Arabidopsis thaliana: one gene and its partners. The protein of the gene in region 3 interacts with the protein of the main gene of each other region in a pairwise test. Each region holds a gene or a part of one and is shown on either strand. Other genes may lie near its edges.

The links.
Region 1: the proteins of MYB56 (region 3) and AT1G63840 interact in a two-hybrid assay, tested with the Arabidopsis thaliana proteins (one large-scale study listed by BioGRID).
Region 2: the proteins of MYB56 (region 3) and WRKY28 interact in a two-hybrid assay, tested with the Arabidopsis thaliana proteins (one large-scale study listed by BioGRID).

What each region holds. Positions count from the first base shown.
Region 1 is NC_003070.9:23,689,138-23,692,898, reverse strand, and holds AT1G63840 (RING/U-box superfamily protein), read left to right. Parts: upstream 1-2,091; 5' UTR 2,092-2,407; coding exon 2,408-2,908; 3' UTR 2,909-3,296; downstream 3,297-3,761.
Region 2 is NC_003075.7:10,059,323-10,063,083, forward strand, and holds WRKY28 (WRKY DNA-binding protein 28), read left to right. Parts: upstream 1-1,891; 5' UTR 1,892-2,185; coding exon 2,186-2,616; intron 2,617-2,729; coding exon 2,730-2,873; intron 2,874-2,987; coding exon 2,988-3,369; 3' UTR 3,370-3,571; downstream 3,572-3,761. UniProt on the Arabidopsis thaliana protein: Transcription factor. Interacts specifically with the W box (5'-(T)TGAC[CT]-3'), a frequently occurring elicitor-responsive cis-acting element.
Region 3 is NC_003076.8:5,875,061-5,878,821, forward strand, and holds the start of MYB56 (myb domain protein 56), read left to right. Parts: upstream 1-2,052; 5' UTR 2,053-2,186; coding exon 2,187-2,568; intron 2,569-2,851; coding exon 2,852-3,277; intron 3,278-3,761. UniProt on the Arabidopsis thaliana protein: Acts as a cell-specific local repressor of quiescent center (QC) self-renewal by cell divisions in the primary root. Counteracts brassinosteroid (BR)-mediated cell division in the QC cells.

The DNA of each region.
Region 1 (3,761 bases), on a different chromosome or scaffold from region 3:
GACAAGACAAGAATCTATTGGATTAAACATACAAATGGGAAAATTTATCTATTGAAATGTTATTTAAGTTAGATAAATGCATCAACAAATTGACGTATATGTACTTAACTGATATATATATATATATATGTTAATGTGTATATATATATATATATATATATACTATGTTAATGTATATAGTTATAGTTGCAAAAGAAAAAAGAAAGTGTTAAATTTTGGAATGTGAAATGTTGGAGGAGAAGATGGAGAGAGTGTGAGGTGGGTCAGTGCTGCTTTTGGCTCTTTCATTACATTAGTCAGATTCCCATATGACATGAGACTTTCGCTCTTCCTCAGAAATAGATCCCTTAATATTGTATTCTAGAAGTATATTTGACATAACGGAATCAAAAGCCAAATTGAAGAGCTATGTGGACTTTTCTACGTAATTAATTTAGGTCTTAATATACTTAGTATACACTCTCAAAATGCTAGTAATTAATATAGCAAATGACGAATATGTAGATTGATGATAGTTCAACTAGTCATGTAATGATGTGAAGATACAAACATAATATGCATTTGAACTCAAATCCTATCAACCATAAGTAACATTTGGGTACCCATATTTATACCAAAACGTAACAGCCAATTAAAAAATCTGGTAAAATTTCATAGAAAACGACGTAATCGTGATACCTTTGTTTACTACTAATCTTGATACTTTATGATTTACATCCATGTGAAAATAAAATCATGTAGACCAAAAATTTCTCATACAAAAACATTAAAAATAGAAATAATGGTTTTGCAATATTTTGTTAAAACAGTTAATTTTTTTAAAAAAATACACACGTATATATTCATAGTTTATATACTTTATAGGCTTATAGCATAGTTCAATAGAGGTACAGACAAACTGAAAAGAAATGAACCTAACTATCTGTCTTCACCTCGATTATTTGTCGTCTGTCTGACTATTTTAATTTAATTCTAATAATTTATGAATGTGACTAGTTTGGCTTATAGGCAAAGATCAATTTTTAGAGTGGGGTTATTGAATATTGTATTCTAACGGAATTGTATGTATTTTCAAAGACACGGTGACATCCACTGTCATTCAATTTCTATTTGATTTTGTTACATTTGAGTTTCAATGTATTATTTTGTCTAAATCACGAGTAAAACAAATACGAGCCTTTTATCTCTGATTTTGATGTATTTCTCATAAAAATTATAAACAAAATAATTATTCCCAAAATTGTTTTATTTCTCTTTCATCTAACAAAGAGATAAAGAATCAGAAGCATTTTGAGAACAATATAATGGCGAAGAAACTGCAAGATCCACCGATGGCATCTTCAAAATGGAGCCTTCGGCTTTGGAGGAGGAAGATCGTATTTTAAGAACAGAAATTCGATCATTCATCCAGATCTGATCCCTTATGTTGCAGTTCCCACTCTCTTTTTTTCTTTTCTTTTTTGCCATTTATGATGCAGTGACTCTTTGAACATGAGTGAAGTTCAAAGAGAACTCAGTCAAAATCCATACCAATTAACGATTAACACATTACAACGTAATACATAAGTCGTGTATTGTAGTGACTTTGTCAAAATCCAAATTCAGTTACGCTAAAATACATTGAAAACATCAATCCAATAATTTTGAACCAAAGATTCAAATAAAAACACGATTTTTTTTATTTTGTAATCGAACGATTTTGAACCAAAGTATAGACTAATTAATATTTGGGATTTTTAGAAAAGTTTAATATATTTAAACCCTCATGGGTTAACCTAGGTATGAGTTTTTTTTTTTCATTTGTAATATGTTGATTATGTGTATTCTTGGGTGCTATAAGCAGAAGTTACATTTCTGTCTCCGTATACCGTATTAAAAATAATGTATACTCAATTGTAAATATCTTTGATTATGTCATTATGTATTTCATGTATACATGTCTTTTCTCCTAAAACTTTTATACCACTTCATAAATCAAGAATTGTAAGAAAGTTAAAATTAAATAAACAGAAATTTAGTGTTTAAATCTGATTTAAAATGGAAATTTGAAAGTAACGAGTTTATTATATAGTAAAATACATATAAGAAATTATTTAAAACCCTTATTTAAATTATATAGAAAAAAAAAAGGTCAAGTAGTCTTCTATTATTTACTAGTATAACCTCTAGAAACATCATCACCACATTCCTGGCTAATATCCTTCATCTAGAACAATTATTAACGAATCAAAATACCAAAAAACAAAGCACCTCATTGACTATTAAATTAGTACTAATACATTAATTAAGTTATTATTCCTATATATAAATCTCACCCATTCTCCACCTTATCATCACAATCCAAAACTCTCTCTCTCTCTCTCTCTCTGTCTCTTGTCTTATCATTTATCTCTCTAACGGCGAGGCAATGGGTTTTCCGGTGGGATATTCTGAGCTACTTCTCCCAAAAATCTTTTTCTACTTGTTATCTTTCTTAGGTTTGATACGTAAACTCATCTCCACAATGTTCAAGATCATTGGTCTACCAGATTTCTTAGAACCTGAACCGGTTTCAACCTCATGGCCCGACCCACCACCCACGTTGACCAAACCTGACTCAGCAGCAATACTAGCCGGAGAGATGTTACCGGTTGTTCGATTCTCGGATATAAACCGACCGGAATCCGAGTGTTGCGCAGTGTGTCTCTACGATTTCGAGAACGACGACGAGATCCGACGGCTGACGAATTGTCGACATATATTTCATCGGGGATGTTTGGACCGTTGGATGATGGGTTATAATCAGATGACGTGTCCACTTTGTCGTACACAGTTTATACCTGATCATCTTCAACTGGAGTTTAATCAAAGGCTCTGGTCTCAATCTTCTGCTGTTTCTTCTCAACTTCTTGATGAATCATCATCTTAGGACGTATTAAATCTTTGTCCAAACAAAAAAAAAAGACATATTAAATCCTTTTTTTTTGGTACTTTCATTGGGAATTGGGTTTGGTGTGAGATCGATGTAAATATTAAACAAAAAAAAAAAGGTAGTGGTTACAGGTTAATGAAAAAAGAAAGAAGAAGAAAATTTGTACTTATCCATCCCTGAAAGATGAAATTACATTTTGAGTTATTATAAAGTTGTAAACTTTTTTTTTTTGTTAAGGAAAAAAAAAATCATTTGCTATAACAGATTAATACTGAATGTGTTAGTTTTTTAGTACAGTATTTTAATAAACATTGTTTAGAAGTTATTTTTTAATTGTTACTTGTTCACCTGGCTAACTCAATGATACTGACATATTGTTTTTTGATTAAAGGCTTACATCAATGATATCTTTCTTTTATAATTTAAAATCAACAAGCATTATGCATAGGTCATTGAAGATAAGATTGTTTGTTCATCCCTATAACATGCTGAACTAATATATTTCAACATGTATTTGAGGGTATTTGAAATGTTCTATAAGTGGTAATAACAAAACTGAAGTCGGAAACCGATATGATTATTCCCCACAAGTGCTAACATCATGTATTTAGGTTCTCATCCGATGACATGTCTTGAAAGAAGCAAAAATTAATGGCGAAATCGTCATGAATATAGATATATCTTGGACATTGCATTTGACTTTTGTTTGATCACGTCTCTCACAAAGGAGCTTGGTGTGTCCTTTACGATTTATCATGTGATCTATTGTGACAATGCTGGAGCTATCTATCTATGGGATAATCATTTTGTTTCATTCTTGTTTGAAACATGTGGCACTTGACTATCATTT
Region 2 (3,761 bases), on a different chromosome or scaffold from region 3:
AGCAGTGATTATTAAACGCATTAAGATCATCATACGTAATTCACGATAATTTGTAATCCAAAAACTTAGGTGTGACCAAAAAAAAAAAAAGAGTTGAATCCTTCACCTACCAAAAAAATGGATTGTGACCAAAAGACCATGACATATCAAATTTTTAGTGATTAAACCGATTTCTTCCAAGATGCTAGTATTTGTTTTTATCTTGCCATATTTTAGTGATTTTTCATAGTAGTAAATATATCACTTTGACCACATTTAAAGTTGATGTATGTCCCCTTCGCATTTGTCATGTCGGTTAGGCATTATATGTCTCCTTTTTTCCTGATCATATGCTCCTATCAATTTCTACAAACTCATGAAAACGATTACTAGCTATATAAATCAAGCATAGGGTTCATAACATGCAACTTTAATTCCCCACAATTATCGCAAATAAAATTGTATATAAAGGGTTTATCGTAATTATCATAATGTTAACATTTTCATAATATAGATACTTTTGGTTTGACCATCTTTTCCTTAATATAAGTTAATAAATTAAGATGCTCTTTTACTTGCAAACAGAAAGTTCTAATGTGAAAAAGAAATTGTTATTGCGTAATCATGATCTCACTTATCCGTCAGCATAAGTAACGATCCACTCCACATAGCTACGTCACTTAAAGTCCCATAGTAACTAATTTTCTTTGAATGTTATAGCAAATTATTAGCAATGTATGATTCTTTGGGTCAAATCTTACACTAAAAACATGAAAATAATTTGAATATCAAGAGATTCATATATTCATATTTTATAACCAAAATATGTAGGGTCTAAATTATTGCTTCTTGACTAGGAATTACCTATGAATAATTATTAAGGTTCGTGAAACAGTGAGGGAAAAAGAAGAAGAAGAAGAGAAGACAGTCTCTAGCACGTGCCAGGTCATGTGTCGGCGACGGTCAAATGCCGGTGCAAGTGTTTCCACGTGGCAGCCTAATACTCCCAAAATATAATCTTTTGTTTTCGTAAACTTTTTTCCCTTTGAATCTTTGACTGCCTCTTACTGCATTCTTCACACCAAACGACCGGCCGGTGACTGAGTGTTTCCGGTTTCCGGTAACACATAGTCTTCGCTGACTAAGACTCCTTCAATAACGTCGTCTTCTTCCACGCGCCGTTTAGTCGTAGCGCGTGTTATCAAGCCCGTCCACTATATATGCCACGTATAGAGTGGGGAAGAAAATGAAGGTGAGAACTTTTCATGTCCTACTTTTTGGCCCCATAAAAAAGGCAGCACACAAAAATAACCCAAAATTTATGCATGTTTATCAAATGTGGAAAAATAAAAGTAGAATTTTAGGAAATTTATACGAAGATACAATGCAAAGACTCGAAGAAATGTATTTAGTGGTATAGAAATACTTGCAAGTAAGCATATTCTGAATTAAAAATATAGAAGCTTAAGTATGTTTCCTCACTAGAAGCCAGTTTTGCAGCTCTATTTTTGTCAACTTAGCTTTACGTAAAGTTCTTATTGCCCGAAACCAAAAAGTCATTCAAAAGGCATAACATGATATCACAAATAAAATTATCATCTACTTCTATATCTTATTTCTTGAATATATATATATATATATATACCTATCTATTAAGTTGCTTATCGTTCACATTATTAATTTATAATTAACTTTATGTACATTTGACTGATAAACATTAAAAAGACTTATTTGAACCTTTTTGTATATGAATTCAAAATTATACTGATAAAATAACGTGAGGAAGAAATATTATGAAAGCTTTTAACATATAAATTAATTTGCATAGGAAAAAATTACACAACTTAAATTGAGATTAGTTAAGAAACAAGAAAAAACAAAGTTGATAGAAAAATAAAAGTATTAACACGACTTTGGATTCACACACGTACCATTGAATTATATCTCAATACACTTTTACTTAATTAACTTATTTCCAAACCAAGTAGCCAAAATCATATTATTCTTCTCTCTCTTCCTTTTTTGAGTTTCAAAATGCATAAATACGAGAACGAGAGACGAAGACCAAATTAAAGTCCAAGCACCAATCTAGACCTCTTAGGAAAAAAACCTAAAAACCTAATCCCCAAACCTAAAAGGCTTATCTCATCTCTTCTTCTTTGTCTTCTTTACTCTTTTTTTACCTCTCTCTTCATTGTTCTTCACCATGTCTAATGAAACCAGAGATCTCTACAACTACCAATACCCTTCATCGTTTTCGTTGCACGAAATGATGAATCTGCCTACTTCAAATCCATCTTCTTATGGAAACCTCCCATCACAAAACGGTTTTAATCCATCTACTTATTCCTTCACCGATTGTCTCCAAAGTTCTCCAGCAGCGTATGAATCTCTACTTCAGAAAACTTTTGGTCTTTCTCCCTCTTCCTCAGAGGTTTTCAATTCTTCGATCGATCAAGAACCGAACCGTGATGTTACTAATGACGTAATCAATGGTGGTGCATGCAACGAGACTGAAACTAGGGTTTCTCCTTCTAATTCTTCCTCTAGTGAGGCTGATCACCCCGGTGAAGATTCCGGTAAGAGCCGGAGGAAACGAGAGTTAGTCGGTGAAGAAGATCAAATTTCCAAAAAAGTGTAAGTCATAACTCTATAGGAACTTTTATGCAAAACATTGAACATCATTTGATCTCTTCGTTTAGGAATTTAGTCTAGCATGTGTATTAATTTTATAGTGTATTATTTTTCAGTGGGAAAACGAAAAAGACTGAGGTGAAGAAACAAAGAGAGCCACGAGTCTCGTTTATGACTAAAAGTGAAGTTGATCATCTTGAAGATGGTTATAGATGGAGAAAATACGGCCAAAAGGCTGTAAAAAATAGCCCTTATCCAAGGTAACTAAACTTTCCCTTTTTATTTTTTGAAATTGCTAGGCTTGTGAAAATTTGTGTTTAGAAAAATGCGACCATTATAGTGTAACTGATAATAGCCAATGGAAACGAAAATAGGAGTTACTATAGATGTACAACACAAAAGTGCAACGTGAAGAAACGAGTGGAGAGATCGTTCCAAGATCCAACGGTTGTGATTACAACTTACGAGGGTCAACACAACCACCCGATTCCGACTAATCTTCGAGGAAGTTCTGCCGCGGCTGCTATGTTCTCCGCAGACCTCATGACTCCAAGAAGCTTTGCACATGATATGTTTAGGACGGCAGCTTATACTAACGGCGGTTCTGTGGCGGCGGCTTTGGATTATGGATATGGACAAAGTGGTTATGGTAGTGTGAATTCAAACCCTAGTTCTCACCAAGTGTATCATCAAGGGGGTGAGTATGAGCTCTTGAGGGAGATTTTTCCTTCAATTTTCTTTAAGCAAGAGCCTTGATCGATCATTGTTATAACTACATATATTATATATATTGAGAGAGAGAGGTAGAGAAAAAAAAAACTTATATGTAACTTAAGATCTTATTTTGTCTCTCTTATTTGCATGTACATATTTTTTCATGAAAGAATGAGACAGTTGGGCTTGCTTATATATTTGATGATGTTTAATGTGTTACCGTTGGATACATATTTTCGCTTCCATTTTGTGAAATTATATTTTCTTCTTTTGGTTAGTTTTTTACATTATGATATTATGCTGTGTAATTTGTACTATCATATGTAGAAGCGAAAAAGACATAACTCTAGCTAGGAGCCTACGATTGATCTCCCAAATGTTGATTATAATATATACATATGCTTTTGGGAAACTTAAGTATTAAATTGACAAGT
Region 3 (3,761 bases):
TATGAACCGGAAACTGAAATTCGTGAGGACGGTACACGTGTTAGGTAAGAACACGATCCGCTCGTGTGTAACAGCCAATGATGTCGTCATTCCACGTCGGTACAAGACTTTTTTTTTGTCGTCAACAGAAGATTTCAAAATTAACGAAACCGTTCCCATAACCGAAACTCACATAAAAACAAGACACAATAAATAAAAAACTTTAGGTACTTTTCTGTCGTTTCTTTGGTTTCTAACGTCTATTCGTGTTATATTTGTTTTATTCTTCATTTATTATTGTTGAATTTAATTCTAGTTCGAGTTCAGTTACATGATTTCTCTCTTTAATCTCTAGTATTTTAATCCATCAAAATTATGTGGTTGCATACTCGATCGAGTTTAGTACAATTACTAAAATATGTAGCTTTGTTTAGTCATATCAAGACTATAGTAAGTTGTTACGCATGAAAGATAATTATTACATTCAAACGAATGACCACTCAATTCTTATATCAAAAAGATACAAAAAACTAAAGTCTACAACTTATAGGTTCAATGGGAGCATAAATAGTCCATATCATTGAATAATAATGGTCTTCAATAGAGTTGGTTGTTCAATTATTATTTTTGGTTTATAAGAAATGAATTGAACTTTTGTTTGTCACCATTCACATTTTCTTCTCTTTTTTGTACTTTTAGTTTTCCTAAAAATTAAAAAAACTATGTTCCCTTCGTACCTAAAACTTACTTTAAAATAACCAATTTGATGATAGTTTTTTTTAAAAAACTTCAACAAAGATTATATATTTCATCCTGAAACAAAAATTACAGCAAAATTTAAATTTAAACTAGTAGCAAAAAATATAGGATGTGCATATGTTTTCTGTTTGCCACGTCTGTTTTCCATTAAATGTACGCACAACATTGTTTGAGTTCAATTAACTATTTAAGTAATAAACAAAAACAATGCTTGAATTTCACTGAATATAGTATATAAGTAAAAATGTATACACCCCAAACGACGTCGAACCCATCGTTCAAAAGATATTGAAGTACTTGAACTAGTTGTTGAGCTAATCATCATATTACTTTATAATTTAACTACACAAAACGAGTTCTTTGAAAGATGCGAATATATATATACACACTTATACGTTATGGAGAGAACAGAAAGCTCATAAAAGCAATTTATTTCTCTCCCTTTAAGATCTTTTCTTGCTTTGTGTCCGAAACAGACAAAAATTGATTCTGTTGTTTTTTCCCATAATTAACTCACACACACACACTTAACGTACGTGCAATATCTGTATGTGTGCATAGTATATACTATAGCCACACGAGCGGTTCAAAAATGTTTTTTGGAGTTTCCGAGACTGTTGAGACTGTGGGGCCTATGGTCATCGAACCCTCCCACACGCACGAGCGGGTCTCGTTTTGCATGCATCTACACTACACGTACCCACCGACTTTTCCAAATCCCTTACTTTTGCACGTGTAGAGAGAGAGAGCTTTGTACTGAAAGTATCTCATTATTCGAAATTTTTCGTGTAAGAGTAAAAACTAAATCGCAACGTACGTGAAGGAAAACGTGAACCTTGAATATTTAATGTTTTCGTGCGGTTTCATTTTAACTATTTAATTAACACAATATTAGTACAATAACAAGCAGCTCTTATGAAGATAGTGATGAAAAATTGTTATAGATCTATCTTGGAATTTTAATGATCGAATTTCGATTTTGTACGACCACCATCGAGGCATCGACTATAAATATAGTTAAAATGTGGTTGCTGAAAAAAAAAAAAAAATGATAAATAAAATGAAACCGCACGTAATTGTATAAAACCATTAGCATGGGATTATTAGGCCACAATTTGGTAATTAACACTTGTAATTCATTTGAATATGCTTTTACAAAACTTTCCCTTCAATTTCTTTTGGTGTGTGAATAAACAGCTATCAATTTTGTTTTTCATGTACATTAAATAACCACTCTGCACTCATCATCATTTTCTAAAATATTCTTCTATATATATTAACTAGCTTGCAAATAAATGTAAATAAAAATATAAATTTCAATAATTTTTTTTAGAGAATCTCTCTTTCCTCTTCCACCATATAAACAGTGAAAAGCCATTCAAGTGCTCTCTCCCTCTATCTCTCTTCTATTTTTAGTTTCTCTTCCCTTAATCCCTAAACCCAGAAACATGAATCCAAATCTCCTTGAGAAAGATCTAAGAGGTAAGGAAACTACAAATGGGTCAATAAGATACAAAGAAGCAAACAACTTCAGATCTCTACCAAACTCACACACTGCTGCTTGTAAAACTTCACTCAACAACCCCTCTATCTCTAGAAACCATCCTCACAACAAATCAGCCTCAGTCTTGGAGTCGGAAGATGAACATGGGAACGAGAGAGGTGAAAACGAAAAGAGTTTAAGAATGAGGGGCAAAAGTGGAATTAACACAAAAGTATGCTCACGAGGACACTGGAGACCAACAGAAGATGCTAAACTCAAGGAGCTTGTTGCCCAGTTTGGTCCCCAAAACTGGAACTTGATTTCTAACCACCTTCTTGGTAGATCAGGTACATTTATTTTACTTAAAATTCTTATTACTTAATTATTTCCTTCACTTTTGTTACTCCAAATTCCGCAAATTTAACTATTTTTATGTAGAAGAAAAATAAGTAAATATATTTAAAAACTTTGGTGAGTTGAGTTTCCAAAGTTATTAGGCATTTTCGTAATTGTGTTTGGATTTTTTTAAAAATAGTTTTTACAAGTTAGACTAAGTTGTATAAGGCATAATGACATAATGCTTGATAGTAACTAATTTTTATAATGTGAGGGACACTTCTTTGACTACAGGCAAGAGTTGTAGATTGAGATGGTTTAACCAACTAGACCCAAGGATTAACAAGAGAGCCTTCACGGAGGAAGAAGAGTTTAGGCTGTTAGCAGCTCATCGAGCCTATGGCAACAAGTGGGCTTTGATCTCTCGTCTCTTTCCAGGTCGTACCGATAACGCTGTCAAGAACCATTGGCACGTCATCATGGCTCGACGGACTAGAGAAAGCCAAAGACAACGTCAACAGCCTCCTCCGACGTTGTCAAGAGACGCTGAAATGACGGTTTCGTCCTCTTGCCGCTACAATCAAGGTAAGTTCATCAATGAAGAAGATGACGACGACGATGTGTCAGCTGTCTCTACTTGTACGACGGAGCTCTCTCTCACTCCGCCTTCTTCAGCTTACCAGCCTCGCTTCTTTAATTACGATAGTACCCTTGCATCAGGTAACATTTTATTTATTTGCTTAAATATTATGTTTACTATGTTTTTTTTTTTTCTCTATTGAAAATATATTATTTTCATGACCCAAGACATTAAAAGTATAGAAACTTGGAATGTTTTTTTTCGTTTTCGGCTTTCTTGAGAAGTGTTTTCGTGAATCTAACTATAATGATCTCGGTCGGTTGGTCGAGATCGTATTGCAATCTTTATTGGGTGTATCGTTGATCATGATCGGTTTATACTTTAACCGGTACTTCCAAATATCATTTGTGGTCTAAATTTAGCTTATTAGATTCCAGTCTTGTTAATTTTTGAATGTTCAAAGCATATAAAATGATAATTTAGGCCGACATGTTGTATAACCGACGACGAGTGACCACTTCCTACACTTTTTCATATACATGGCAATAATTATAAATTTGAATGACTAGAAAAGAAAGAAACTGTTTTTACATCGTAAGAGTACCTATAGGCATAATAATATAA